Linked DNA regions of Alligator mississippiensis. The protein of the gene in region 1 binds, or shares a complex with, the protein of each later gene. Links are inferred from orthologs where the notes say so. Each region holds a gene or a part of one and is shown on either strand. Other genes may lie near its edges.

Region 1 (7,378 bases):
CCCAGCCTGTATTGGTACATGAGATTGTTCCATCCCAAGTGCAGGACTTTCTGCTTGTTCTTGTTGAACCGCATGAGATTTCTTTTGGTCCAATCTTCCAATTTGTCTAGGTCACTCTGAATCCTAGTCCTACCCTCTAGTGTATCCTAGTCCAACAACCTCGAAGATGGCATAGAGAGCACCCTGCAGCTTGGTGTCATCTGTAAACTTGCTGAGGGTGCTCTCTATGCCATCTTCGAGGTTGTTGATGAAGACGCCAAACAAAACCGGGCCCAGGACCATCCCCTGGGGTACTCCACTTGATACCGGCTGCCACCTAGACATCGATCCATTGATTACTACCCTATGAGCCTGATGCTCCAGCCAGTTTTCTATCCACCTTACAGCTCATTCATCCAGCCCAGACTTCCTTAGCTTGCTTGCAAGAATGTTGTGGGAGACCGTATCAAAAGCCTTGCTAAAATCAAGGTACACCACATCTGACGGTCTCCCCGCATCCATGGAGCCAGTCATCTCATCATAGAAGGCAATCAGGTTGGTCAGGCATGGCTTGTCCCGGTGAATCCATGTTGACTGTTCCTAATCTAACCTAACCTTTTTCTCCTCCAAGTGCTTAGAAATGGATTCCTTGAGGATCTGATCCATGATTTTTCCATGGGCTAAGGTGAGGCTGACTGCTCTGTAGTTCCCTGGATCCTCCTTTTTTCCTTTCTTAAATATGGGCACTATTGTTTGCCCTTTTCCAATCATCCAGGACCTCTCCTGATTGCCATGAGTTTTCAAAGACTATGGCCCATGGCTCTGGAATCACATCAGCCAACTCCCTCAGCACCCTCGGGTGCATCCCAGCCAGCCCCATGAATTTGTACACGTCCAGATTTTCTAAGTAGTCCCTAACCTGTTCTTTGACCACTGAGGGCTGCTCACCTCCTCCCCAAACTGTGCTGCCCGGTGCAGTAGTCTGGGAGCTGACCTTGCCTGTGAAGATTGGGGCAAAAAAAGGCATTGAGCACTTCAGCCTTTTCTGCATCCTCTGTCACAAGGTTGCCTGCCCCATTCAATAAGGGACTTGCACTTTCTCTAATCCTCCTCTTGCTACTGACATACTTGTAGAAACCCTTCTTGTTACCCTTCTCCAAGTGTGCTTTGGCCTTCCTGACTTCATCCCTGCATGCCCAAGCAATGCTCTTATATTCTTCCCTAGTTATTTGTCCAAGCTTCCTTTTTGTGATTTAGTTTACTGAAGAGTTCCCTGCTAAGCCAAGCTGGTCTTCTCCATCCTTGCTTGTCTTGCTTTGCACTGGGATGGTTTGTTCCTGCACTCTCAGTAAGGCTTCTTTGAAGTACAGCCAGCTCTCCTGGACTCCTCTCCCCATCAGACCGGCTTCCCAGGGGATCCTGCCCATGAGTTCCCTGAGTGAGTCAAATTCTGCTTTTCTGAAGTCCAGGGTCCTTACTCTGCTGCTCTCCATCCTTCCTTTCCTCAGGATCCTGAACTCCTTTCCTTTGGATCCACAGGGGAGAAAGATGCTATATAAAAATACACCAAGATGTGACCTTGGGTTTGTAATAATATCTGGTGAATTTTTTAAAGATTTTGATCATTTCAAACTATCCTTTGACATTGAGGCTGTTCTTACATAACTTCATGGTAAGAGGGTACTTTTGGAGGTGTCTGGTGAAGCTTAAAGACTGCCACCATAGATGACATTTGCTGCTTTGCCTTCTGCCATCCACTATGGTGTGGATAACAGCATAAACCACATCTTGAAGTTTGTCCCATACTTCCTTTACCCTATTGCTTGCCTCTTCCACTGAAACTTGCTACCTGTGATGCACTTCAAGCGCTAAGCTCTGAACAACAGTTGCTACCTCAGCAATGGCTTATTGCATCAAAGCTTAATGTGACACATTTGTGTATCCGGAAGATAAACCTTTAAGCCTACTGTATGCCTGGATATATGTGCTAACAGCTACATTTGCAATTAGATGACTGCAGTGCAGCTGGAAAGTAGCCTTGGGAACACGTGTGAAAAGTTAATTAAGCTGGAGTTTTGATGTGGGTAGTGTGCTAGCAAGAACCATGGTGTCTTTATTCAGGTTACCATACTGTATAAAAATGTGTGTTTAAAACTAATAGTCTCTTCATCTGTACAAATGTTCAAAGTGCCTATTGTCCTACTTTTTCAAGTGCTCTATTATATATAAATGGCTCAGTCTTCCCGTATTCTTGTCAGCCACAGCGGTTCTTGTGATAAAATCCTGTCTTCAAGCACTTAAAACCTTATGAAGCATTCATCTCTCAGACTGACGTGTTCCAGGGTTGTTCTTTGCTGAAGACTTGTCTTCTGTATGCTCCTATGTAAAGTTTCAGCCGAATCCCAATAAAAGAATGGGGTGGCTGCAGCTGTCATATAACTATGTCCATTTTTCTTAACTGGACTGCCTATACTATGGTAACCCAGCCCAAAAGCAGCGTGGTATGGAGCAAACAGACTAGATACTGCCTAGAGCTGGACAGGCACTGCCTGGTGTTCTGGCTGTACCTGACAACCAACTGCAAGACCTTGAAGTAGTCATACCTCTTCTCAACCTTCACTTCAAAATGGTGTCGATTACTATCCCAGCTCCCAGGGGAGATGTGAGAATAAGTTCAGACTTGCTCAGCCCTTACATACCTTAAAGTTCTTAACTAGTAACACAAGATGTAATAAAAGGGCAAAGGGGGAAAAAATCTTTAGGGTTTAAAAGACTAGGGCTGGTGTATCATTTTTTAAGAAAATTGCCTTCTCCACAGGATAGTCTGCTACTGATTTCAGTATTTTCATTCCATTATACCTGCTGTCCTATTTTCTTGCAAGCTACTGGCCAGTGATCTTCGTTCCAAACAATGACTTAAGTGATGATGAGGACACAAAGAAGTTCAGAGCCTGTGGGAGTTTCAAACAGCCATTTCACCTGTAGCTATACCTGTCTTATCCATTTAATAAGTTGAACTGGATGCTTCGGACAAGTTCCAGAGTGATAACCTGAGAGTTTTAAGGCTCCAGTCTTCTTGCAGATTAAACACAACCCTAGTATCAGCCTTGTCCAATGTACCCATCAGTGTTGAACAGTATGAGGGAGCACATCTCAGGGGAGAAGATGAGCATGACTCTTTGTTGGCTGTTGATGTTATGGTTAACACAGTACAGATGGCAAATAGATGAGCAGAGAGGATGACCCAACAGGAGAAGCAGGGTTAATGTATCTTTCACAGGTACATACTAGGGCAAAAAAGGTCTGTGGCAGTTGTGAGCAAGAGCTGGTAGCACTGTGGCAGAAGTCTTTACAGAACTCATTCAGTCCTTGACCTCTGTCCTGCTCAGGCTCCACCTGGTTTACCAATTGTGGTGGCAACTGGTGGGACCACCTGTTTGTTTCGCATGTAACCCAGGCCAGCTTCAGATTGTAACAATGGTCTTGGGCCAACCTACAGTATATGACCCAGAGTCCAAAGGCTGCAATTCTCCATACCAGTTCCCTCAACCTGCTGCATACAATGCTGAGGTGTTAGATTATAGTAACACATTCCTTAAAGCAAGGGGACAGAAAGGAGCTCCTGTTCCCAGATGTGGGCTCACAACTCATCCCTGTCACCTGTCTTTGAGAAGCTACAATTCAGATACTGGACAATATATTCAAAAAAAATTAAGCCACCACATAGACACACCTATACTTTGTCCTTCTACCTATAGTTCTGAGGCTGCTTTACAACCATTAAAGAATTCAACTTCAAAATATCCCTGTGGAATAGAGAAGTGTTATCCCTATTGCACAGGCAGTGAAACAGGCCTGCAGCAGCTCCTGATACTGGAGTCTTTGTGGGGTAGCTTACTTTTCTGAGTGCCCAGCTTGAGGCACTTGGGATCTGGTTGTCAGCAGTGCTGAGTACCTACCAGCGCAAGGGAAGGCAGCATGATCTGTGGTGGTCAGCCCTTCATCTCTCAAATGGGGCACCAAAACCAGAGCCCCAAACTTGGAGGTCAGTTCTGAAAATTTATCGCTAAGTGAATTATGTAAGGCTGCAAAATAAGGAACAAAACTAATGAGGTTATGCTTCCTTGCTGGCTCCACATCTATGGTATACACAATAGCTGCATATTATACATAAGGAGTTCAATGTTCCCAGGTAACCACTGCACAGCGCAGAAACAGGTGTCACCTTAAACCTTCTTGGGAAAGCCAATTACCACTTGCAATCCTAGCTTGGATTATTATGATTAATAATGCTGTAAGTCCTAATCGTGCTGACACCAATGTTGAAAGCTTACCCAAGGTGGTACTTCATAAAGGGCGCTGCACTGACAACAGTGTTGCCAACTTCTGCAAGTTTGAGGAAGAAGCAGAGATAAGAGGAGAGCAGGAAGAGGAGATCTTGAAAGAAAGCAAAAAATATTTGTAAGACCATAACACCTCGGAAGCCGCAGCCATGAATGGAACAGAAGGTCCAGATTTCTATATCCCCTTTTCCAACAAGACTGGGGTAGTACGGAGTCCATTTGAGTATCCGCAATACTACCTGGCTGAACCATGGAAATACTCCGCGCTGGCCGCTTACATGTTTATGCTGATTATTCTTGGCTTCCCTATCAACTTCCTGACTCTGTATGTCACCGTCCAACACAAGAAGCTCCGTTCGCCTCTAAACTACATCCTTTTGAACCTGGCAGTTGCTGATCTCTTCATGGTCCTGGGAGGCTTCACCACTACCCTGTACACATCAATGAATGGGTACTTTGTCTTTGGGGTAACAGGTTGCTACTTTGAAGGCTTCTTTGCTACTCTTGGTGGTAAGTTCACTAACTGAGTAAATAGCCAAATATGTTCTGTCAGAGTTCCCTTGAGCTGTAGGAAGGGGAAGCCAGGGCCAGGTGGAGGGGCAGGGGGGAAGACGGGAAGGCAGCAAAAAATGGCTTTCAATGCATCACCAAGACCTGGAGGCACTTGGAATTTATATTTTCAGGCTGTATGTTTGGCTTTCAGTGTTGTAGAAAAGTTATATTTCAGACAAGAGAAGTGTGGGAGGACAAAGAACACATGATGTTTGCCATCTTCCTTTACTGCTTTGGGGAAAACCCAGTGGCTGAAAATGGTTGAAACTGGACTGTGGTATTGAAACGTGACCTGGAACAGTATTCCAAAAGTGGTTTTATGCTGACTTTTAACCTTGGAAATGGCAAGCCTGGTCTTCCCTGGTTTTGCTGGAAGAATTTCAGAAAGGTCCCAAGGTACTTTACTGTAGATCCCCATACTTAAATTGAAGGAATAGACTTACTTACCCTTTAAAAGTAATCTTCTCCCCCATGTGTCAACTGATTGAAATAGCTGTTTACAGGAAATGGTAGGCCTAAAACCCTTTCTTTTCTGCATCCAGTTCATCCTTCAGGCAGATAAGTCTGCTCAGGTCACCATCTAACTAGTTCTTTGGTTACCAGAGAGTCTTCTAAGGTAGATGAGTTCTAAAATGTATACTGAAACACAAAAAACCTCCCAACATCTTGACAACAACCTCTCTACCTTTGTTTACCACTGGGTGGAAGGTAAGAAGGATGTAGACCCAATTTCCACTTTACTGTGAGCTTTGAAATATCCTACTAATGTTGTTCCCAAACCTGAGATATGCTGGGCAGAGGGCAGAAACCAATGAGTGGTCAATTCAGTGTGCATTCCCTAGCACAATCAGGCGCATGGAGTTAATAAGTAGCAAAACAAGTGTGGGGAGGACAGGTTGGACTCAAACATAAGATAGGGCATTCCAGTGGAACTCAAAATACTGCAGCAAAATGAGTGTACAATGGGTTAGTCAGCCATTTGTGCCTTCCTTCCCATGCTTTAATTCAGATTTTTTTTTCACATTCAAATCTTACTTGCATTCTTTGATCATTCAGAGACTTGTTTGGAATCCGTTATCCAAGAAGCTTTCATATACAGGACAACACGTTTTTCTTCTGTTGCAAGCAGTATATGAATATGTGTGTGTGTGTCTCCTACACAGGTGAAGTGGCTCTGTGGTGCTTGGTAGTCCTGGCCATTGAAAGATATATAGTGGTCTGCAAGCCCATGAGCAATTTCCGATTTGGTGAGAACCATGCCATTATGGGTGTCGTTTTCACCTGGATCATGGCCCTGACTTGTGCTGCTCCCCCACTGGTCGGATGGTCCAGGTAGGCATATTATACATTTTCTGAAATAAGGCATCATCTAGGACAGCATTTTTCCATTCTAAAATTGCAAAGCCTGATTCCCCAGTGGCACCAGTGCAATGCCAGGTACTAATCTCATCGGTTTAATGGCAGGTACATCCCAGAGGGCATGCAGTGCTCATGCGGGGTTGATTACTACACCCTGAAGCCTGAGGTCAACAATGAGTCCTTTGTGATCTACATGTTCGTAGTTCACTTCGCCATTCCACTGGCTGTCATTTTCTTCTGCTATGGACGCCTGGTCTGCACTGTGAAAGAGGTAGGTTGACCTGCTGGTGACGGACTGCCATCAAAACCTGCGTGTGAATGCTAATGCCAAATTTTTGGAAAGCTCAGATGCAGCTTGGAACTCCGCAGCTGGCTCCATCCCTGTTGTGGGAGGAGATGCCGTTCCAGCCTTTTTTTCCCCAACACTTTCCCATGGAACCATCATAATTTCTTTGTTCTTTTGCCTTAGGCTGCAGCCCAGCAGCAGGAATCAGCTACTACCCAGAAAGCCGAGAAAGAAGTTACCCGCATGGTCATCATCATGGTCGTTTCTTTCCTGATATGCTGGGTCCCCTATGCCAGTGTTGCTTTCTACATCTTTTCCAATCAGGGATCTGACTTTGGTCCCGTCTTCATGACCATCCCGGCATTCTTTGCCAAGAGCTCTGCCATCTACAACCCAGTGATCTACATTGTCATGAACAAACAGGTAATTAACAAGTGCAGTTTTTTCTTCAATGTATTTCATTTCTTAAAAGCTTGAACCTTGCTCATAGATTTAAAGGTTAATGTGGCATGAAAGGAACTTTTAAAGTCAAATGTGTTCCTATAATACACAGGGATGACTCTATTAATTATCTCACTATCCTTTGGTATTACACAGATGTGGAAGCTGTCAAGCCGGTCTGCTTGAAATGATCCAACTACTTAAGATTTAACTAAGTATCTAGGCCTCTGTTCTGCTCTCAGCCACAGTGGCTCCAGTAGGAAAGTTAGGATAATCCTGAATCAGAGTTGTAGCTAGTTTTAAGGAATGAGACATGTACAGAAGATAAGATTTGGCACATTGGATGAACCATCAGTCCATCACATATAAAGTCTTACCTCTGCCAGTGACACTTAAATCAACTTCCCTACTTTGCCAT
Region 2 (7,716 bases), about 28 Mb from region 1:
GCAGGCTAGAGTCTTCTTGGTGTCCTTGCAGTTGTGCAACATTGTTCTTGGAGTTTGAGGAACTGGTTAAGCAAGCACTTATATGGGATGGTTTGGATAGGGATGATCCTGCCTTGAGCAGGGGCCTGGACTAGATGATCTTCTGAGAGCCCTTCTAGTCCCACTTTTCTATTATTCTGATTCTGTAAATCGGGGGTCTTTATCTGAAGTCTGATGGACACCAAACCCAGAAGCCCATGAAGCAGTGACCAGTTTTCCATATAAACAAGTCACTCTAAAACACATGCAGGGATCCATTCCCACCCCTCTGCACTTCTTGCACAAGTACGTGTAATCTCAGCCAATGGAGCCCAGGGCTGTTGCATGCCAATGGCAGAAAAGGCTTGTCTGGGAATCGTTTCTGCAAATGGTGACAACACCTAGGGGTGAGCAGGGCACCAAGCAGGGGCAGGGCATGGTCCACCGACACAGATCCCTGGCGACAATCTGGCAGGGTCTGGCTGTCAGAGTCTGACATCCTCAGTCCCTGCAAGAGGCTGGTCGCTGCCATTTGTCCCCCTGGAGCCTTCTGATCCCAACAGATGCAGCTCCATGAGGCTGGAAGCACAGCCCCCCAGCAGCAGGTTCACCCAATTCTTTCCTGGGTTCACAGTGCACACTTTAGAGATGCGTCTTCCTATCTGAAGCAGCCATGGGGAGTTGATCCGTACAAGGCCAAGCACCCTGCTGCCTCCTCAGAATGGAGCCTGATGGCCTGCTCTCCCCTCTGTCATCCCAAGGACAAACAGAGTTGGCTGGTAATCCTTCCCAAGGCTTTATGTCCATCTCTTCCCCTTGTGTTGCTCTCTCACTTCTGAAGTTGCCACACCCTGAGCCCAGGCAGGGAAAGCCAATCTTCCCTGGTGGATCACAAGTGAGACTTTTGACATCATGCTTCATTTTATTTAAACAAATTTTCTGAAACTAAACATCAGGAAATGACTGTTTTTTTATTATGCATCCAGGCAAAGCCTCTTTTTCACATTTTATTTCAAGGTTAACCATCAGCAGTGCTTGCTTAATCAGTAACTCTGGCAGTGTATTGCTATTAAATGCAGCTTCATTTCCAATTCCATGGCCTACCTTAGGCTGGAGTTAGGGTTGAGAGCTCATCTCAGGAAGATGTAAGTAAAAACACTGCAGGAATGTCGTAATGATTTCCAAAACTGCAAATCCAGAAAATTCAGAGGAAAAGTTAATTAAGGCATACAGATGACCTGCTTTCCTACATGAATTGGGATTAGATGGCACAGTGCTTTGAAAGAGATGAGGTGCCATGTAAATACAGGAGAGAGTCCTGCCTCAAAACAGCAAATTCTGGCTAGATTTTTGGTTCTTGGAGTATTTTATCAATTGACATCCTGGAGCGTTGTCCTCTTGAAGTACTGGTTTGGCTTACTTAGGGGATCGGGCTTTTCTCAGTAAAAGTGTCAGGGTTTTTTAATTGTGAAAAATAAAAAAATATAATTTTTAAAAGCTCAGAAAAAAGGTTTAAAAGATTAAAAAGAAAACAATGGTTCCTTCCTTTTACAGCTGCATGTGATCCTGGCTAAAGAGACTGAGTACTGTAGAGGACGGTGTTTGCACTGAGCGCAACCAAACCCCGTGTGATACCCCACTCTCCTCCACAAGAGTAAGAGGGCACCAGGCCCTGGATGGAAATGGGGGATCCAGGGGACAGGACTCCTCCCTAGTCTGACCTGCTGCAGGAAACCCTGGCTCTGGCACCATCAGGGGTGTCATGTCCCAGCACAGTCTCTAGCTGAACTCAGCAGTCACCCACACCCATGGGTGCCTCACAGTTTGGAGGAGCAGCCTGTGGTGGCAATGCCCTTGCCCAGAGTCAGGACCCTCCAAGGAGGCATGCCCAGACTGAGGACTGGGATCTCTGCAGAGAGAAAACAGGGCGATGATGGGATGGGCATGCTCCTCCCCTCTCCTCCATCCTCCAGGGGTACAGAGGTGGTCCTGAGTCAGTTCCTTCCCATGTTTCTCCCCACAGCCCAATCCCAAGGAGGGCACCTGCACTAGATAAGGGCTGGAAAAGGCGATTGCCATAGGGGCCTCACTCACAGCAAACTCCTGGCACTGCCCTCTGGGGAGACCATTCCAGACCTGACCCTGACCAGACCTCTGCCAGCTTGGTAGGGGTGGGGAGAAGAGGGATGGCAGGGCTCTGAGGCATGTACGGGGTGCACAGGGAGAGGTGGACATGGGACTCCACACACATGAATGCAGCAGGCCTGGTGTGCTCAGCCTCACTTCATCTGGTAGCACTGGGAGGTGCTGGGAGGGATTTGTGGTGATTTTGCCCCCCCTGGTGGCTGAATGTGGCACTGCTCAGCAGAGAGCTCAACCCCCAGCCACACACCGCTGGTCCAGGCTGCTGTGCCCCTAGCACCCCTCCTGCCCCCGGCCTGCTCATAGCACGGGGCTAATGCAGTTCAAAGGGCTCTTGATGCATGATTATCCCAGATGCACTGTTTTCAGGCATAGGGGAGCCCCAGGATATAAGCACCAACCTTTCCACTGTGAGGACCTCAGGGGAAATCTACTTTTGGCCACCTGGGTCCTGAGTTCTATGTGCTCAGCCTGGCATCTTGTTACAGTGGATGCCTGGCCTGGGCATGGGGACACCTTCACTCAGGCAAAGCTCCAGCCTCACCATTGCTCACTGCATGGCCTGGTACTGACCCATTTCCCTTCAGTACTTTGGTGTCACCTTCTTCCCCCTCCCCCCACAATCCAAGGCAGAGTCCCTCTCTCACTGTGCATCTGTCCATCCACCCAGCTGCTTTGGACTGCTCTGCACACATGGATTTGAGAAGGGTCTTCACTCCTGTGCCCTTCTCCCAACACCCACTCCCTACAGTACGCAGGAGACTCCCAGTACCCTACTCTCGGGGCCATTCTTCCTTCATGTACACCCCATGCTGCACTGTTTACAGAGTGGAGCATCTGTGGGTGACAGGGACGTGGCACTAGCTCACCTGGACTCCTTGTCTCAGCCCCTTGCTATTCCAGGCCTACACTCCAGTGCCTCGGCCGCCTCCCTCCTTTCTCAGATAACCATGATCCCCAGGGCTGTTTTTCAAGCAGTTGCAAGGGCTTCATTTAGCTTTTCACCTCTCTGAGTCCTCCCTCCCTTCCCCCCAGGATGCATTTGACAGGAGTTGGGTTTCAGGAAAACCCCAAAGGTTGATCAGCTCCCACTTCCTAGGAGGGAAGAACAGGGTGCCACAAGACAGTGGTCCATTATATTGACTGGGGGTGAGACGCAGGGGGCTGCAGGTTGTGATGCGAGACAGCAGAGCTGTATAAGTAGGAAGCTTGTCCAGCACCAGCCAGATCTCAGTCTCAGTCTTTCACAAGAATTATTTAACTTTTAAGAAAAGCATAAAGGTTCCTTGAAATATCCAGTGCAGCCCCCACCATGGTACATTCCCCCACACACATTCCACATCCAGACAGACCTTTGACCTTGGGCTACCAAAGACTTAATCCCTCTTCCCTCTCTCCATTACAATTCATGGAGTCCCCAAATCCAGCCAGGCACATACCTCTGTTGGTCCAGAGCCCAGCCTGGAGCCCCATTGTCCTCTGCTGCTGCCATCCATGCCCCAACTCAGTGTTGATTGCAAGCCAACCCCTCCGTACGCCACTACCCCGGTACCCTAGCCCCTTCAGCATGCTCTGCCTTGGTTCTGGGCCTGTCCTCTGTGGTGCTGTCGGGCTGCTGGGTGCTGATGTGTCTGGTTCTCCTGAGGCCCAGGTCCACCTTGAGCTCCATTCATTGAGGTCATGCAGGTTCTGGGGGACCTGGTGGATTGCCTGGGCACAGAGATGCGTGGAATGAGCAAACTGGGAAGTATGATTGAGGGACTGCCAGCCTAGGGGCAGAACACAGCAGGGACTAAGGGCAGACAGGGGCAAGGAGGTTTCCCTGGGGCTTTGCCCCATTCCCTAAGCCCCAGCGAGTTCAAGGAGACTTCAGAGTTCACTGCACTCCCTCTCTCTCCCCTTTGCCCCCCAGGAAACTCTGTGCCAGGGAGCTTTGGCCTGCAAGGCAAGAAAGAGCACCCTGCACTGATTCTGTCCATGCCAAAGTGGCCAGCCTGGATGTACCCTGAAGCCCCTTAAGCTGGGAAGCCTTGGTTCCTGTGTATGCTCACAGTGGGATACATTGCCTTTGTTGATGCAAGACATTGTACATGCAGAGACTTTGGGTCAGGTGCCTAACACGGAGTCCCCTATATTACCAGCAGAAACTGATTCTGACTTCCGGTGACTCACCCAAGGTCATAGAATGAGATGTAGGCTCAGGGCTCAGCTCTTCTGGCACCAGCCCCAGGCCACCTCCCCTCACAGGAAGCTTGGGGCATGGATGGTGGGCCAGGCTGTGAGGAAGTCCCTGCTTTTACACGTTGATGATGCATCCCTGGATGGGAGCAGATGGAGGCTGGAAATTGTTGCACTCAGCAGGTAGGGGGATTTGAGGGGATTTATCTCAGAGATGGGTTTAAGGCATCAGCTCATGGGGCTGCTCATGTCGCTGAGCGCAGCAAGTCTGATCAGAGTGAAACAGAGGGAGGGGAGCCTGGGCCTTACCTGCTCCTTGTCCACCTGTCCTTGCCACAGATTGGGCAGCAGGGAACACATGACTTCCATGGGCTTCGAAATCCTCCTTTGTGGGAGACTGGCTGGCACTGTGCATTGGGAGGAGTGTCATTCTTCTCTGGGGTTCACGACGGAGCAGGAGGGAGCAAGCGGAGGCCTTCCAGAGTTAGTAGTGGGTTCCAGAGGAGACAGGACAAGAGCTCTGGATACCCCCTGGGCTTACACTACTGCTGCTGAGTGGCTGGATCAAGAAGAGGAGTATACTGAAGACCAGATGGGAGCTGGGGCCAGCGCAGAAGAGAAGCACTCGCGGGAGCTAGAGAAGAAGCTCAAGGAAGATGCCGAGAAAGATGCCAGGACAGTCAAGCTGCTCCTACTGGGTATGTGCTTGGTTAGAGGCTGAGCCCTGCTTTTCCCTGATCTCAGCCAACACCCCAGATCCTGCACCAAACCCCTCAAACCTGCCCCCGCCCCTTGGCCCAGAGCTATCCATCAGAAGCCCTCAATCCGAAGCCAGCCAATACCCAGGTTCTGAGCCAGCATCCAGGCAGTGAGACTGTGATGCTGATCCTACCCAGGTTGTTGGATATGGTTTGTCATCGTGGTGGGAATGCTTGATGGAGGGACCCTTATATTGGCTTGATGGCCCAGCTTAGGGCAGTGCCAGGAGGAAAGAAGAGCTGGCAGCATTTTACTAAGGTATTAAGCACCCACAGGCCTTTGCGCTCAGCACCCCTTCCCTGAGATCCCAGCCCAGTGGGTCTGGGAGCTCACTCCTCTCCAGATCCAGAGCTGGTGAAAGCCAGAGTCCTGATCAGCGAGAGACAGCATGTACAGCTCTGCCTCTCCATGTGTGCTGCAATGCAAATGGCCCCAGGAAACCCTGATCCAGCACAGAGAAGGGGCTGTTTGCTTATACGTCAGCTTGGTCCCCAGCTGGTGTAAGCAACACTATTCCACTGACCATAGTGGGGCAGATCAGCATGTGATGTGAGTCTATGTGGTTCCCTTGGCTCCCATAGCACCCACCTTTGTAATTTCATGGCAGTTTTGCAAATTTCTGCAGAGCTGGAACCTGGACTTGCTATTGCTAATACTTCACCCTGTAGCCTTGCCAGGGCATTTTGAGATAATGTCTTGGCATCACTGGGAGTCTGACTGACTTGCCTGAGCTGGGAACAAAGCACTAGAACTCCAGGGCTTTGTCCCTGAGTTTGTCAGAGCAAATCATTTACAGTGTGCATGCCCCAGGAGCTGTGGGCACTGAAGCTTAGAGGAGATGCTGGATTGCTGTGATTGCTATGTTGCCCTCTCTCAAGCTTTCGCAATGTTGGGAACAGGTTGCAAAGCTCCTTTCTTTCCATGCCCTGCCCCACAAAGGCGGGGTGTTAGCACCTCTTTTTCTGCAGGCCTGGTCTGCAAAGCCTGGAGGAAAATGTCAGATCTCATTATCCATGCCCCAAGGATAGACACTGATCATCCATCTTACCTTAATGCCAGCTAAGAAAAGACACTGGGGCCTCTATAATCCTGGCTTGCTACCTCCAGTGCCATGAAAAACAGCATCTGCAGGGAAGCTGATTAATACTGTACATTGCTTCTTGCCCCTGTTCACTGCCAGGTTTGTGCTCAAGACAAGCCCTGAGCACGACACCAATAAGGAGGGCAGGGGCAGGATAACTGAGCAGCTGTCCCCATCTTGGCTGATGGACCAGGAACTGAACTGAGGGTTTTCAGTCCCCAAGCAAATTATTAAACAGTCAACTGGTGCAGAGCTAGTGGGTAGCAAGGTGGTAGAAAGAGCTGACAAGGGTTTGTCAAGAACAACTTGCCTTGTCTGATCGGACAGCTGGCCTAGTGAACAAGGGGAAAGCAATGAATGAGATGCAGCTTGACTTCTGTAAGGCCTTCAGCTCTGTCCTACATGACTTTCTCATGTAACAACTTCTGCATGAGTCACTGTTAGATGAACATACAGTTGATAAAAAACTTACCTCAAAGACTAGTTTCCAGTGGTTTATTGTCAAACTGGGAAGGCAACATAGACAGGTTACTCTAGGCACCTGTCCTAGGCCTGGTTCTATTCAATAACTATTTGGAGGATGAAATATAGGGTTGGCTTAAAAATTGTTGACAATATTGAGCTGGAAGGGCTTGCATGGTGGGGAGGGTAGGATTAGAATTCAAACTGACTTCAGAAGATTGGAAAGATAATCTGAAATCAGCAAGATGAGAATTAATAAAGACAAATGCAAAATATGATGCTTAGGATGGAGAAATCAAATGCACAAATAGGAAATAAGTATTCCCTAGAAGGGCAGGGAATAGTAGCGTATAGGAAAAATGAATCTGGGGGTTTCTAGCAGGCTACAAACTAAACAAAGTCAATAATTAAATATATTGTTTAAAAGGTAAATCCCAGTCTGAGATATGTTAACAGAAGAACTATACTTAGGACACAAGAAATAGTTGTTCTTATTCAATGTTGGTGAGGACCAGCAGGTGTGCTATGTCCAGTTTGGGGCTGTAAGAAAAATGGAAAACAACAAGAGTGATGTAAATTTTGGAAGCCATGACCTGTGAGACTAGATTGAAGGGACTGGCCTTGGTTGATCTACAAAAGAGAAGACATAACAACAGCCCCATCCCTATGTTGACATAAGGAGGATGGTGATCAATTGCTCTCCTTGTCTGGTAGAGGAAGGACAAGAAGAAATCAGCTTACTCCGCAGCAAAGAAGATTTAGATTGACTCTTAGGAGAAAGTTGCTTAGCTCTAAGGGTAGTGAATCACAGGCACAGATTCCCATGGAGGGGTGGAATCTACTTTGTTGGAGGTTTAGAAACAGGTCCTGCAAAATCTATCCTGGATGGATGGGCCAGGTACACTCAATCCTGCCTCAGGGCAGGGTGACCATTTAAGACAGAAGTGTAAAGATGGGTGGGCAAAAGGGGCATGAGTCCCAGGCACTGACTAAGGCAGGGGGAGGGGGGGGGCTGCCTCACCCTCCCATGCCCTGTTCCTCCCCCGACACTTCCTCTATGGTGGCTCTGGCTCCAG
Region 3 (7,483 bases), on another chromosome or scaffold:
GGCAAAGTGTGTGTGTGTGTGTATGCATGCACAAGTGCGCATGAGAGAGAAAGGGGTACTGATTAGTGGATTGTGGCCTGTACTTGACAGGTATGTGTCCAAGGGGTATTAGTCCTTATAGCCAAATCTATATGGTCTTTTATCAGAAATACTGTTTTGAGACTATAGCAAAAGAAGCGGCTTCCTCATTGTTTGTACTTTTTTTTTTTTTTTTTTTTTTTTTTACAGTGTGACCTATCTTTGAATCTTGGAAGGTTAGTGTACATACTTTGATGTGAGGGAGAGATTACTGAATTCAGGAATATGGATTGTCCCTGTTCACCCAGGAATACATCACAGGAGATGGTCTGTTTCTCCCTTGCTGTTTTAACTGCTGTCTTGCCTCTCAGTTTCATAATACAGACCAAAAAATGGTGGTATAAAAACTGTGTTCCAGGGATGGGCAATTACTTCGGCCCATGGGCTACGTAGACAGTTTTTTGCTGAGCTGTCACAGGCCACGTCAGCACCACCACCCCCTCCCCCCCCTTACTCCTCACACAACACCTCAACAAAACTTTATGCGGGCTGCAGGCCCGTGGACAGTGGTGTTTGGGAGTGGGACAGGTGAGCAAAGCTGGGATCATGTGGCAGAGTCATGGGGGGGTGATAGCATGATGCAGAGCTGTGATCCACTGCCTGCACGGCCCTGCAATAGGCGTGGGTTCCACGGGTAGGGATGTGCAGGGAGTGGATTGCAGCTCTGCCCCGGCCCCACACGGTCACTGCTCCAAGAACCCAACCCCAGACGCAGCTTCCCATCAGTGTGGCCTTGTGCTCTGCCCCTATGGCTCCTAACTGGTCTGCACTGAGACCCCAGGATCATGGGGTTATGACATCAGGACCAGGTCGGGCAGAGCTGCAGTGCACTCCCAGCACCTCCCTGCTTGCAGAACTGGGGCTCTGCCCTAATCCCATGCTGTCACTGCCCTGCGGTCCTGCAGTCTCTATTGAGACTGGGTAGGAGCCACATGGGCAGGGTGCATAGCCGGGCACATGGGGAGCTGCATCCAGGGCTGGGATCATGGGGTGATGACAGCATAGGGCCAGGGCAGAGCCCCAGTTCTGCAGACAGGGATGTGCTCGGAATGTTTCACAGCTCTTCCCCAGCCCTGTCTGCACTGTCACCACCCCAAAATCCCAGGGTCTCCTGCCTGCCCACCTAGTCTTGCCTGCCCATCTAGCTCCTAGACACTGCTCCCTACCAGGCTGTGGCTCCATCCCAGCCACCCAGCTGTGCACCCTGCCTGGTGGTGGGGCAGATGGGCTAGGATGTCCAGGCAGTGGGGACTAGGGTTGACAGCTGCAGCAGCCAGAAAGAGCTGGCACTGGGGCTGCCAGGAATTGGAGTCGGGCTGCCACACCACCCCAGCCCCACTGCATGCCCAGGGGCAGCAGGACTGGCTGCACACACCACAGCCTGCGTTGCCCTCCGTGCCTGGGCAGGGCAGAACAGAAGGACCTGCTGTGGGCTGGAGAAAATCCCTCAGCAGGCAGGGTTTTGCCCATGCCTGTACACTAAACAGTAAGATAAACCTAGGGCCAACTTGGGAGTAATGAAACCTAACCATCTAAGTCCTCTTGCACCTGTATCTTGTAAAATTAATTGGGGCTCATTGTAGAGGTGATATCTTTTATTAGGCCAACAAGATTTTTGCAAAAAAATTCTTTAATTGCAAGCTTTCAGGCACAAGTGCACTTCATCAGGCATTGGAGAAAAGATTGTAAAAGTTCTCCTGGCTAGAAATGGAAGTTCATATTTCAGAGGAGTCAATAGGTGGAAAACTCTGGGCAGGCAGTTCTTAGCTGGTAAGGAGTCTCTCAGCTCTCCTGTGTAAAATTAAGATATTTTCTTAGCCAATCTTCTCCTGTGTTGGTGAGAGGTGAAAGCAAAGTCAGTTAATGGTTTTTGTTTTTCAAATAATGGAAGAGGATGACAAACAAACTGCAGTTCTGCTGTCAGCTATGGGGACCAATTGCTCTAAAATGTGAAGGAACCACTTTGAGAAGGAATCATACTCTATCCGCTCCCAGAAACTTTCTTCAGAGAAGTGTGTTATTACACTACCTCTACAAAGGCCCCTGTCCTATGCCCAGCTGACCTCAAGAGGATTGCAGATAAACGGATCATTCTAAGTGATGAGTCGGTGAGATTAAATATTACCGGGGATTAACTCTGCCATAATAAGAACTGTGCAGGTTGCGATGGAGAGGATCAGGATGGCTTAAGATGTTGATAATTTTTTTCTACAACATAAACAACAATTTGGATTGAATGTTTTGATGCAGGAGACTTCTGTTTGTTGAATGCTTCTTAGCCAAATAACATTGAACATTCCAAAACAAGGGGTAAAAGGTAGGTCAATATTATAATTTTTAAGCATTGTTTATGCAACAAAGATAACCACCAGTTCCACTCATACACTTATCAAGTGTAACGTCTGTCTAACTAGTTCAGGTTGTACCTCTTCCAAGATGGAGTGAACTTGATTAACTTTCTAACAACTGCAGTCTTGCAAGACATAAGCCAAAGAATTCTAGTTTGGTGACACTGGTAAGGGAATGAGGTCATGACCTGCTTTTTTCAAGGGTGCAGCTATTTCATGATTGACAGTACTTTCAAGTAATTTAGAAGTAGGGAAACCAAACTTGCCACTTTAGGAAGATCCTTTGAAAAATTCTCTTATGATGGTGTTGAACAAAGGAATGGAGTCTGCTCTGCTTCCGTATAAAACATAACTTCAGATTGAAAAGGATCCATGTTCTTTTTATTTTGTCCTGAGAAGATGGCTGTAGCTTCTTGGAATTCTTTTGATCTTTTGAAATTTTGCTGTGCTTTTTTCTCTCTAGGAATTGGATAGGTCTGCATCTAGAAAAGGCTATAAGGCAGGGACAGACAATTATTTTGGGGGGAGGGCTGCTTACCCAGTTTTGGCAGGCTGTCAAGGGCCACATGGGTAGCCCTGCCCCTTGACAGATGCCCTGCCCCCCCGGTCACCATCTTGGGACCAATGTCTCAGGGTCAGCACCGGGGCAGAGGCTGGCAGGGTTCTGTGGGTCTGGGCTGGGCTGCACTAGCAGGGAGAGTGGGGAGCTGGCCCGGCTCTATAGAGCCCCTGCCAGCTGGGATCCATCGGCACTGGCCCCAGCCCCGGGACACTGGTGCAGATCCCGTGCTCCTGCTGGCTCCTGTACCTGCTCACTCCCAGTGCCCCCCAGCCCTACAGTACAGGCAGCGCACATCCTCAACCCCCTGCTGACCGGCAGGGAAGAAATGTGCTGAGCATGAGGAAAAGTGACCCTGCCCCATGGCCTGTGCTCCCTGCTGCTGGCGTTCGCAGCCCATGCGGGGCTGTCTGGAGCAGGCACAGGCAGCCCCACATGGGTTGCAAGCGGCTACAGTGCGGGGCCCCAGGCATGGGGCATGCGAGAGGTCACTTTCCCTGTGCTCAGTACCAGCTTGTAACCCAGCCCCACTGCCAGCCTGGGCTCTGCGCGAGCTCCAGGCTCACCGGTTGGGGCTGCGTGCGGTGGCAGCAGGTGCGGCCCCCCCACTTGCCACACCGGGCAGCGTTGGTTGCTGCTGTTGCCCACCCAGAGTTTGTGTGCTGGGCAGCCCAGAGGTGGTGTGCTGGGCAGCCCAGAGGTGCTGTGCTGGGCTGTGTTTGCCACTGCCAAGTGGGGGTTCTTTAGTTACTGTTGCCATGCACAGCCCCAATGGGCAAGCCCAGAGCGGGTGCGGGGCCCAGGCTGGCAGTGGAGCCGGATTACAAGCTGGTGCTGAGCGTGGGGGGGAAAGGAGGCCCCTCGTCCGCCCTGTGCCTGGTGCCCCACACTGCAGCTGCTCACGGCCCACCTGGGTCTGCCTGTGCCTGCTCCAGACAGCGCTGCATGGGCTGCGAGCAGCTGCAGCAGGGAGCGCCAGCCATGGGGTGGGATAGGGGCCGCTTTCCTTCACCCTGGGAAGGAGCAGGGAAGGAGCCTGGGGAAAAGCTGAGTGTGGCGGGTGGAAAGTGGCCCCTTGCCCGCCCTGTGGCTAGTGCTCCCTGCTGCAGCTGCTTGTAGCCCGTGCGGAGCTGTCTGGAGCAGGCACAGGCAGCCCCATGTGGGCTGTGAGCGGCTACAACATGGGGCGCTGGGCACAGGGCAGGCAAGGGGCCACTCCCCCCCGTCCCCCGCTTTTCCCCAGGCTCCTTCCCTCCCCTGGGCCTTCCCCTGCCCTCCCCCCACCTTCCCCCTTGCCTGCAGTTCTGGCAGGGGGCAGCCACATGCTCCCAGGCCAGAAGCCCCTGCTGGGGGGGCCAGGGCAGGGGGGCCCTACTGTTGTGGGAGCTCACCAGGCTTCCCCTGGGTCCTTCTGCCCTTGATTCTTGTCATTTTTTACAGGAACCAAGGGCAGATAGATACTAATTTTCTAAATTTTTTTAGGGGCCCCATGGGCTAGATAAAATGGCCTCGTGGGCCGGATGCGGCCCACTGGCTATATTTTGCCCACCCCTACTATGCGGGGGGGGGGACACGGACGGACGACCTTTTGGATGGAAAGAAAAAGTAGGCTGCAAACATGCATATAAAAGGGAACTGCCTAAAACATGGAAGAATACCTTTTCAAGCCTGTATGTCCCATTACCGTAGTGCCTGGTGTCTCAAAGTATAAAATGCAGTCTTCAGTAGAAGTAAGTGTGAAAGGGAGGCACTTGGAGCTTTGATTTAAAAGGTTCGTAGAGCCTTGGTGGGAAACTGGCTTGTGCTGTCACCTAGTAGGGAGATTAGTCTGTACCGCAGGTAACCATGTTTTTATCACTCTCTTTGGCAAGTAGGGAAGAACCTGACAAGGTCACTGTGGCTCTGCCCTTATGCTGAGAAGGGTTGGCTGAGTGCCATGGCGTCCTGCAGTAACCGCCTGCAGTCAGCTGCAGGGCAATGCAGAAGGAAATTGAATTAAGGTGGCACGTGCTGTGGAAAAATGCCTGCTCTGCCTCTGCACTGAGGATTCTGACTGTAGACTAGTGTACACTGTCCACCCGGAACTAACCTGCACCTTTGAAGAGAGGCTCTATGAAAACCCAGGGAAGCCTGTAATCCATATCTGGCATTTCTTCTGGGATTTGAACATTGTTTTCCTGTCGGCTTTTTTTTTTTTTCCTGGAGGCTGATCACTACCACTTGGTTTAGCAATGTCTTACTGCTCTGGCAAGAGCCATGTCCTGCCTTAGACTGTGGAAACTAATAACCAAATGGTAGAATGCCACAACGCCCCTTTGGGAGTAAGCAGGCATCTAGTTCCAGGTGAAGCTGGGGGGACGTGGTATCTCTGGAGTTGATCTCTCCTGTCTCCATTCAGACTTTGGGTTTGGACTGAGCAATATGGAGAAAATTAACTCTTATATATGCCCTTAAAGTACTTCAGTGAAGCGGTGGCTAGAGGCCCTGATCAGCCTTGGGGCTTTGCAAAGCAGCCAGCAGAAGCACAAAGGAAGTCAGAGAGCTGTCCATCCTAAAAGGCTGACTAATGTCTTTCTTCCCCAGTACTGCCTGCCCTCCTCCTCTCCAACAACAGCTATTGAATGATCCTTATCAAATTAACATTTGACAGTAAATTACCATTAACCTTCTAACGACTGCAGCTTTGCAAGACATAAGCCAAAGAATTCTAGTCTTGTGGAACAGGTAAGGGAATCCAATCATGACCAGCCAAATGAGCTGTCAAGAGAAATGGCCTTTCTTCCTTTTGCCCCCCAGCTTGTGCTGTGACAATGTTGCATGGCGGAGCAGTCACAGTACATCTCATGTCTTCTGTACAGCAGGACTGGAGATTTCTTTGCCTGTGGGTACATATTTGCTTCTTCCAAAATATTCTAGCCAACGAGGGATTTCAGAAGTGTCTTAATGCTTTAGGCTGGCAAGGCTACAGCCAATTCTTTCCAACTACTTTAGTTGGTCTAATAAAAGATACCGGATTTACGCAAATAATCTTGTCTGCTTAATGCTTTAGGAGCACAAGCCTTATATTAGTGACTGTCAAGGTACTGTGGCACCCTTGTTTGACTTGAGATCCTTACAAATGTGTGCCAGGGTGCCACTTGTTCTTAGCGTTAAGTGTGCAAACTGGATTCACAAGGAGGAGGAAAGTTATTTTGAATAGGAACCCAGAGTGTCAAAAGCATTCAGACCTGTTGTGGTCTTTCTGAGTTTTTTGCAAAAGAATTTCTTTACGGTTTTGTGTTGGGTTTGTAGTTAAAAAATGAAAGCTGGTATTTTCCAAGGGGTGCCTTGACCATAAAAAGGTTGAGAACTACTGTCCTATGCAAATTCCTTGGCCACTTCAGAAATGCATTAAAATTTGCTGTGCTGACTTCAAGTAAATATTGGGTGACTGTTCCCAAAAGTAAGCTGGGTTTGCCTTCAGGGCTCCATCAAACACACTCTCAAGAGAGTCTATTCAAGGAGGGAACAGAAGCAGTACTATGCGATCTGTTTCTAATCAAACAGCCCAAAGTGAGCTGGTGAATACAGCTGCTTTTGAATAGTTTACTCACCAAAAATTACCCTCCTTGTTTTGTGGACAAAATCAAATTGCAATCAAAGCAAAGCAAACTCCTTTCAGAGTATTCATGAGCAAAAAGAAGCTAAATTGATCAAATTTCTTTGCTCCTCTTGATTCTAATTTTTTAAACATGGATAACTGTCACTTCTCCTTTATAAGCTAATTGGAACAACAAACAGTATGCTGGCAATCTATATTATGTGCATAACATGTCAGGGGAATGCTGGTGGAGCAACAATAGGTGAACTTAAAGCTTGTGAAAATAACTATGATGTGTTTGCAACCCTTAGAGTCTAGACTATGTAGTATTTATAAAGTCTTGTTCTAATGCTGACAGATAAAGAGCCATTAGTGAGATGCTTAATGTTTAGCTTCTTATTAGCTGTATGATTTGTAACTACAGTAGATAGAAGATGGAGACAGAGCTTTAGAGCAAAGCAATAACCCTCCTGTTTTCTGTAAGTCTTTGTGTTGTCCTTATACAGCTATGAGTCTGGCAATGACATTGTAGACCCGTTCATCAGGCCTGTGCTCCCTTAAGTAATACCCAACACTGCTGACCTAGCCAGTTTCCAAGTGGATCTTAATCTAGGTACATTATTTACTCCTTGAGTGGGATTAGTTTATGAAATCTTGGACATTAAGAGCTGGAAACATCTCCAAATCGACTACAAATTGCGCTCAGTTCTCACCTGGAAGCTAGTGGTTTGCTCCAACACACAAGGATAAGTAGGAACTGTCTGCCTGGAAAATACCTTTTGTTCAGTGTTAGGAGTTCTCATCTTATTCCTTGTGTAATGTTTTCTTCTGGCAGTTGCTGTGACATTTGAGACATTGGAAGGTATTTTAACTTTTGGCTATTTTTGTGGGGTTTTTTGTTTTCTCCTAAATCTTCTG
Region 4 (7,341 bases), on another chromosome or scaffold:
ACTCCGCGCTAACTCACGCGCCGGCAGAGAAGCGCTCCTGTTTGTGCAGCCTGTTCGCGTGGTTCCTGTTGCGTGGCTCCCTGGGGGGCTGGGTGAAGTAGGGGCCTGGGCAGGGCTTGACCCGGCCCGGCTCCACTCAGCTGCCGCCTCCCACACACACACTAAGGGGGTTAGCCCCTTCTCTCCACGGGCCCCGCTTACCCCGGCTGCGCTGGGGGTCAGCGGGGGGCTCCACGGCTGCTGGAGGGTTTCTGGGGGGCTTCGGGGGAGCGGGGGTGCAGCGAGCTTTCACCCGCGCGTCTCTCGCCGCTCCCGCGTCTAACTTTGGCTTTATGAAAAAAAAAATCCCTTCAACCCTTTTCTCTGATGTTGAAATAAGGATTTTAAAGGTTTTTATTGATCTCATGAAAAGAGGCACAGGAACAGGATTTGGAAATAGACTTTCAGATGAACTGGATGGTATAACCAATTGAGACTGTGTCCAAGATTAACTGATCAATTGTAGGGGGCCTCACATACCTGATAGACCTAGCACTTCCTGAAAAGAGGTGCAATTGACACTGGAATTATATGAATTGGGTCAGATCCGTCACCAAAGACATCAAAATATTTGCATATATTCCAACAAATCCAGTCTTTTGCATTTCCTATGTATTGGAAAACTGATGTTCTTCCTCCTTTGCTGATATCACTATGTGAGAAGATGGGTATGGATATATAAAGAAATACTCTGGCCCTTTGTGTAGAACCTGTCGTTTCACTTTGCCAAACATGAGGAGAGGGCTGCCATGGCTTGGAGTTAAACAGTAGCATAGTCTGCCTGGGTCCATTATCACGTAGTTTAGAGACTAGGCCAAGCCTCTATCAAGACTTTAGTGTTGAATGACTTGGTTCCTTCAGTATCCTCAGTGGGGACCTGAAGATGGTTGCCATCCTTACTAGTATAGGGTGACCAGAAAAGTTACCAGTGCATTTGTGAAGAAGGAGGTGTTGGAACTAGGGCCTTCTATATCTACAAATGATATCATGCATTAGGCCTGTGCGAAGAGGCTAACAGTCACTTCGGATTTGGCCGATTTGGGGTACAGTGATTCATGTTGGTGATTCGAATCACTGTCCCAAATTGATTCAGCCAAATCTGATTTGGAGGTTTGCAAATCAGCCAGGCCCATCCTCCGTCCACTTTCCCAGCCCAGCAATGTTTGTCCTGCCTGCCCCCACTCCTGGCACTTAAAAAAAAAAAAAGCCCCCAACTCACTTGATGCTGCCCCGCAGGGGGGGTGATCCCCGCTGCCCCCTACTACCTCACGCTGTGTGTGGGGCTCTGCCACAAGCCCCCCAGTCCCCTCCCACTCTCCCAGCCTCCCCCCCACCACAGCTGCCCTGCCCACCCCAGCTCCGGCCCTTTAAGAAAAAAAAGAAACAAAACAAGCCCTGACTCACCATTTCTGCTGGGTGGGTGGGGGCAATCCCCACTGCCCTGAGCATGAGACTCCCAAAGTCTGCATGAGCCTCCCAAAGTCCCAAGACTGCTGCAGGAGCCAGCGAGTGTGGGGGGGGTTGGGTTTTTTCTTAAAGGGCCGAAGCTGGGGTAGGTGGGGCAGCCATGAGGGGTCTCAGGGAATGGGGGGGTCAAGGGGCTTGTGGCAGAGCCCCTCCACATGGAGTGGGGCAGTGGGAGGCAGTAGGGATTGCCGCTCCCCCCTCACCAGCCAGCACCCAGTGAGTTGGGGCTTTTTTTGAAGGGCCAGGAGCTGGGGCAGGTAGGGCAGCCATGGGGGGGTGGGGCTGGGGGAATGGGGGGGGCAGGGGATAAGGCAGAGGATGGGGCCTGGCAGTTGTCCCCCCATGGTCCCCTCCCCTGCTCCCTACTTACCAGATCCAAGTCTGGGTCCAGCTCCCTGCTGCAGCAGGTGGGAACTGCCTGAATTGTCGAAGCTCTCCGAATCTTTTCCAAATTGATACGGAGAGCTTCAAATCATTTCAGACTTTTGAACTGGTCCCCCAATTCAATTCAGATTTGGAGAGTTAGCCACCGAATCGGGCCTAATCTCCTCCAAATCAAATCAGCACCTGAAGCTTTGCACAGCCCTATCATGCATCATCCTGTCCTAAGGACAAATGAACTAAGATCATACCTCACTTCTGAGGCAGAAGCTGAGTGCTGCTTCAGAAGAGGAGATGGCTGATATGACTGCTGAGAATATATAGCAAGTGGAACCATGGGTACTTGTGCAGCACCAGGAAGTTCGCCATATTTTACAAAGGCCATTGGAGGACGTCTGATCATTATGACCCCAATATGGTTCCTGCTTCTACTTCAGTACTGTGCCCCTTTTACCATCCAGGAGGCCCTTTGTATAGCATGCTAGTGGGGCCTCAGGAAGAAAAAGGTTGAGAAGCCCTGCTCTAGACTCCTGATCAATGAGAAAAGTGGGAACTCAATATAGATTATAATTGCTATAGATGTGTGTAGATTTTATATATATATATATATATATATATATATATATATATATATATATATATATATGTTCTAATCACCCTGAAGTTTATTGAAGCATTTTACTCCAGGATGGGCCCAAATTCTAACAAAGAAATGCCTGGCACCAGGACCGCACTTGTGCCATTGCAATGTTAATTTCTAAAACAAATGGAAAGATTTATGCATGAGTGCAGATGCACAGAGATCTTGTTACCTGTCATTTTAAAGAATAAGCAAAACAGGAATGTAGACTGAGCACAACAGTTTTTCTTGCTGTGTAAATAAATATGCAAAACCTCAGCTGTTGACACTTAGCAACTGCTTCCAGCCCTCCAGGAGACATAGGAAATCTAGTTTTCCTGATGCACTGAGCAGAAGGGATACACTGAAGGAGCCAAACCAGCATACCTGCTAGTATATGTATGCATCTTGCAATAATCCCTTGATTTTCAAATCTTATCACTGTAGTATCAGAGCACGTATTTACTCAAACACACAAGCAATTTTTCTGTAAGGTAAAATCAGTGTTTTGCTGAAGTCAGCAACAAATTTGCACTGATTCCAACAGGACCAGAATATCAGCCTTTGAAGTAAGAAATGAGTAAGATCTAGGCATCATTTCAGCTGAATTCTCCAACCGGATGCAGTTTGTACCTGGAGAAACAGGACTGAAAAGGAGCTGTTTCCAGGCCTCCAAGGCCTGACAATCATTATAACGCAGCATTGACTAAAGAGGAGATCATAGCAGCTGGCTTCAAGCCAGGAGAAAATGCCAACTTTGCAACTCCTTTGTGTTGGACCCAAAGGAGAGAATCTGGCCTCATGCCTTTAAAGAAGTCCTTTCTTCCAGAAAAAGGGGAGTGATATTTTTGGCTAAAAGTTATATGCATCACATTCAATAGCAATTTCTAGGGTGACCCAAAATGGCAAAGATACCATAGCTTTCACCATTAGGTGACTATGCACAAGTGGGCATCTTAGAGAAGTTGCAAACTGGAATAAAACCTAAATATTATTGAAGGAAACATAAGGCACGGCATCACAGAATCATAAAAAATTAGGTTTGGAAGGGACCTAATTCAACCCGCTGATCAAAGCAGGACCAGCCTTAAAAACCTCCAAGGATGGAGAGTCCACCACCTCTCTGGGTAGCCCTTTCTAGTGCTTCACCACCCCCCTAGTGAAAATGTTTTTACTAATATCCAACCTAAACTTCCCTTGCTGCAACTTGAGACCATTGCTCCTTGTTCTGTCCTTATAGTATCATTATAGTGTGAAACTAGAAAGCATTGTGGCATCCCAATTTATTAATGTTAAAATCAGCATAAACAAGTAGCTATGAAGCTGCACATTTCTTTGTGGATAAAGGGAATGTTTAGAAAGATTAAAAATAAATAAATGTTCCCAAATGTTTGGAAGGAACATTTTGCTTCAGGACATAAGCCAAAGATTAATTCCTGGGGTGAAAAATTCATTCCCCCTAAACAGTGTTATCCTAAAATCGGGTACGTTAGGGTTTCTTTCACTTTCCCATCTCATTAAGGACAGGATGCTGAACTAGATGGCTCTTGGTTCAATTTGGTATGGAAATGCTCATGCTCTTCTATCATGCTTTTCCATGGGTGTAATAGCTGAATGGGACATTTACATTTTCTGACATCATATGGCTGTAATTCTGTGTCCCAGTATAAATTCCTGTCAGTAGCATCTTCAAGTCATGTGACAGGGGAAAAGCAACTACTTAATTTGTATCTATAGAGAGGAGGCTGAATGGGACATTTCAGACTTCATTAAAGCATTGCTGTTGAAGAGTTTGAACTAAAGCGTTTTTTCTACTTAGATATACACTGACTCTGTAACCCCACGCCATGGGTAGTGGTGCCAGCTCAGAGAGTAAAGAGTCAGCCAAAAGATCAAAGGAATTGGAGAAGAAACTCCAGCAAGATGCAGAGCGGGATGCCAGGACTGTCAAGCTTCTTTTGTTAGGTAAAACAAAAGTATATTACTCTATGATTTTATTTTAAAGTAAACAGTACTGTAAAGGGATAAATGCAAACATGCTTTCTGATCCTTCAGTGATACTAGACACTTGACTGAACAGGTTTATTATACTGAATCTATTCCATTTTAAGTATCTTAAATCCCCAGCATAAAGGAAGAATTCGAGGAATGATCACTCCTGTCAGAACAATTATAAAGAGCAAACTCTTTTTTTTTAATGCAGGGGATAGTGCAGAAAGCAAAGGGTAAAGGTGCAGTAAATACAACACTTACACATAGATTTAAGGAGGCGATTGATTTAAAATACAGAAATGACATGCCATCAGCTAATGAAATTATCATTAATTTTTATTAGTGATTGTGAACTTCACATTGATTGTTAAGAAGCAGGGAATGACTGTAGCAGGAGACAATAACCCAAGCAATGAATATTGGGGCTATATATGAAAAAGCTTTCAATTTACTAAGTCCCCATTAGTATGATATGCACTTCTATATATTTCTGAACATTATTCTTATTCATATCTAATAGTTCAATATTTTGCATCACTAAACATGTGTTTGCTTGAGTGTATCAGAATACCGGTTGTGAGCCAACGTTCATATTTTTTTGTTATAGCTGCTTTTATTAAATACTTACAAAGGCCTTGAAATGGGCCCCATAATATAAATATCTGGCAGATCCTCAGCTAAGATAACTCAGCAGAGATCCTCTGACTATAGTTTTAGCCTAAATTATTTATATCAGATGAGAGTCTAACTATCATTATTAAAAAAATAAATCTAGAATTAGCAAAACCACCCAGTTACCTTCAGCAGCAAGGAGCAGTTTAGTTTCTGTCTTGAACATTCTGCATGGCATCTTCAGCCCTGCGGGGAATAAAAAGATCATTTGTGCTACAGCCACACAAGCTACTTGGAAAAATTAAAGCTGTTTGAAAGACCTTTTTAAAATATATATATATATAGAAAATGTTGTATTTTGCCAAAACCCCAAAGGCTGAAAGAGATTTTAACTTAAATGTGTGTGTGTCTCTCTCTCTTACTCTCTATACATGACTATTCTAGATACAAATCCTAATGTGGTCAAAATACAGACAGAGAGACAGATACAGGATTTTCTGTAGTGAATTAAAACATAGTCCATTTAGTCCACTATCCTGTTTCTGATTCTATTTCTATGCATTACTGTGAGTTTGAGAGGAAATATGAGTAACCCAGTAGAAGGCACTTGTTGAGTAAACTGCCTCTGAGGAAATTTTCTCCCTAAAACTTTATTATTTAAAGACAAAGTATATAACCCATCCAAAAATCTTGGTCTTTTAGTATTTATTATCACCATGTGGGTGTTTTGTCTACTGTTCAGTCCTTTTTACAACCTTTTTAACTATCCCTGGGGACATACTGGGCAACACGTCCTGCAGGTCAGTTGTATGCTATATGGAAAAGAATTTCTTTTTTTTCAAATTTCAATTTCTGTTTTCCAATGTCATTGAAGGTCTCTTTGTTCTTCCATACCAGGGGTAGGAAAATGACAGTGACTGAACAACTTTCTTTAAACCGTCCATTATTTTGTTTACCTTCCCTAAGGTAAAGACAGAGTTTTTCAAAAGAAAATATCCAGGCAAATTTTCTCTTGTAGAACTCTTACAATATGCATTATGAGTTGTCAGCCATCTACTAAAATCCATGTGAAAGTATTGGACAATTTAACTGGTCCTTTTTAAAACAATATAAGAAGCTATTAAGACACCGTTGTGTGCTGGGTCTAGTAGAGAGAGCTGCCCCAGGCCCAGAACCGCAAAGCCACCCTGAGCTCTCAAGATGTACAAGGATACAATGTATGGCTCTTTCTTGATGATCAACCAGAAATGTTGGCAAAGCTAGAGACTGTCCAGCCCCAACAATTTCAGTCTAGATGGAAAGCAGGGACAATAATAAAAAGGCCAAATTTGTTCACGTTATTTTACTTCCATGTTCTGTGCCAGTGTCAACAGAAATGCTGATTACATCCTTTTCATGGAACAAGTACTGGGGTAAAGAAAACTATAGTTTCCCAATTTACATAAGTCTTCTAATGGACAGAAGCATAAAGTTATTTTTAAAACAGAATCCTGTCCAGAAAAAGTGGTCCCATCCCCTACCTCTCACCCAGGCACGCCCATAGATAACACTTGCAGTTATCAGTTAAGGTTAAACTCCAGAATGATAATTAGTCTCCCCATGAACATGTTGAAAGCATAATCCAGAGCTATACTTTGTTCTGTTACATAACATCTAGCTCTCATACTTGACAAGGTGAGGACTTTCTATGTGTTTATACATCAAGTGCAATGTGCACCCTTGACACTGCAGAAACAATCAGCACTAACAACGCAGTAATAATGGGCAAGCCTCAAAAGTGGGAAAGCTCAGTTTCCATTTAGACAATCACAAACAAGCTTAAAGAACTTGCCATGTCTTGAAACCCGTTCACTGTGCAGAAATATCACCCCACACATGGACACTGGTTTACCAGCCACTTCCAGCTCTCTGGGAAGTTGGAACATAGCCACTTACATCAGACAATAGTCTATTCCCTAGAGAGGGCAAGGATTTAGATAGAAGCTGAAAAGCAAGAGAATAAGGTCTGTCAAGCATTTCCAGAAGGCTCTCATCTCCCAAGAACCCTGGATTTAAATTTTCAAGAGTGACTAGTGATTTGGGTGCCCATACTGAGACACCTCAAGCAGGACTACTTTCCGGAAAATGCTGAGCAACCATCTGCTAAATGTGCTAAAGCATCCAGTTTGAGATGCTTAGTAAGGCGTCTCAAACTGGACACCCAAACTCTCATGTCACTACTTAAAATGTAA

What was found.
Region 2: the proteins of RHO (region 1) and GNAT1 are in contact, whole or in part, in a cryo-EM structure (PDB 6OYA), measured with the Bos taurus proteins. The link is inferred for Alligator mississippiensis from reciprocal best matches to the Homo sapiens genes RHO and GNAT1. Residues at the interface, in NP_001014890.1 of Bos taurus: Leu72, Arg135, Val138, Val139, Lys141, Ser144, Asn145, Phe146, Arg147, Val230, Ala233, Gln236, Gln237, Ser240, Thr242, Thr243, Lys245, Ala246, Glu249, Val250, Met253, Met257, Asn310, Lys311, Gln312; in NP_851365.1 of Bos taurus: Ala27, Arg28, Asp189, Leu190, Val312, Glu314, Tyr316, Asp333, Ala334, Asp337, Ile340, Lys341, Asn343, Leu344, Lys345, Asp346, Cys347, Gly348, Leu349, Phe350.
Region 3: the proteins of RHO (region 1) and SAG are in contact, whole or in part, in a crystal structure (PDB 4PXF), measured with the Bos taurus proteins. The link is inferred for Alligator mississippiensis from reciprocal best matches to the Homo sapiens genes RHO and SAG. Residues at the interface, in NP_001014890.1 of Bos taurus: Arg135, Val138, Val139, Lys141, Leu226, Glu249, Val250, Met253, Met309, Asn310, Lys311, Gln312; in XP_010802144.1 of Bos taurus: Asp71, Ile72, Met75, Gly76, Leu77.
Region 4: the proteins of RHO (region 1) and GNAT3 are in contact, whole or in part, in a crystal structure (PDB 4A4M), measured with the Bos taurus proteins. The link is inferred for Alligator mississippiensis from reciprocal best matches to the Homo sapiens genes RHO and GNAT3. Residues at the interface, in NP_001014890.1 of Bos taurus: Leu72, Arg135, Val138, Val139, Lys141, Thr229, Val230, Ala233, Thr242, Thr243, Lys245, Ala246, Glu249, Val250, Asn310, Lys311, Gln312; in NP_001103452.1 of Bos taurus: Ile344, Asn347, Leu348, Lys349, Asp350, Cys351, Gly352, Leu353, Phe354.

The regions. Positions count from the first base shown.
Region 1 is NC_081835.1:15,128,812-15,136,189, forward strand, and holds the start of RHO (rhodopsin), read left to right. Parts: upstream 1-4,355; 5' UTR 4,356-4,471; coding exon 4,472-4,832; intron 4,833-6,037; coding exon 6,038-6,206; intron 6,207-6,338; coding exon 6,339-6,504; intron 6,505-6,702; coding exon 6,703-6,942; intron 6,943-7,378. UniProt on the Homo sapiens protein: Photoreceptor required for image-forming vision at low light intensity. Required for photoreceptor cell viability after birth.
Region 2 is NC_081835.1:43,088,264-43,095,979, forward strand, and holds the start of GNAT1 (guanine nucleotide-binding protein G(t) subunit alpha-1), read left to right. Parts: upstream 1-4,714; 5' UTR 4,715-4,930; coding exon 4,931-5,036; intron 5,037-7,716. UniProt on the Homo sapiens protein: Functions as a signal transducer for the rod photoreceptor RHO. Required for normal RHO-mediated light perception by the retina.
Region 3 is NC_081830.1:38,994,721-39,002,203, forward strand, and holds the start of SAG (S-arrestin), read left to right. Parts: upstream 1-4,482; 5' UTR 4,483-7,427; intron 7,428-7,483. UniProt on the Homo sapiens protein: Binds to photoactivated, phosphorylated RHO and terminates RHO signaling via G-proteins by competing with G-proteins for the same binding site on RHO. May play a role in preventing light-dependent degeneration of retinal photoreceptor cells.
Region 4 is NC_081827.1:21,306,734-21,314,074, forward strand, and holds the start of GNAT3 (guanine nucleotide-binding protein G(t) subunit alpha-3), read left to right. Parts: upstream 1-4,338; 5' UTR 4,339-4,353; coding exon 4,354-4,471; intron 4,472-7,341. UniProt on the Homo sapiens protein: Guanine nucleotide-binding protein (G protein) alpha subunit playing a prominent role in bitter and sweet taste transduction as well as in umami (monosodium glutamate, monopotassium glutamate, and inosine monophosphate) taste transduction.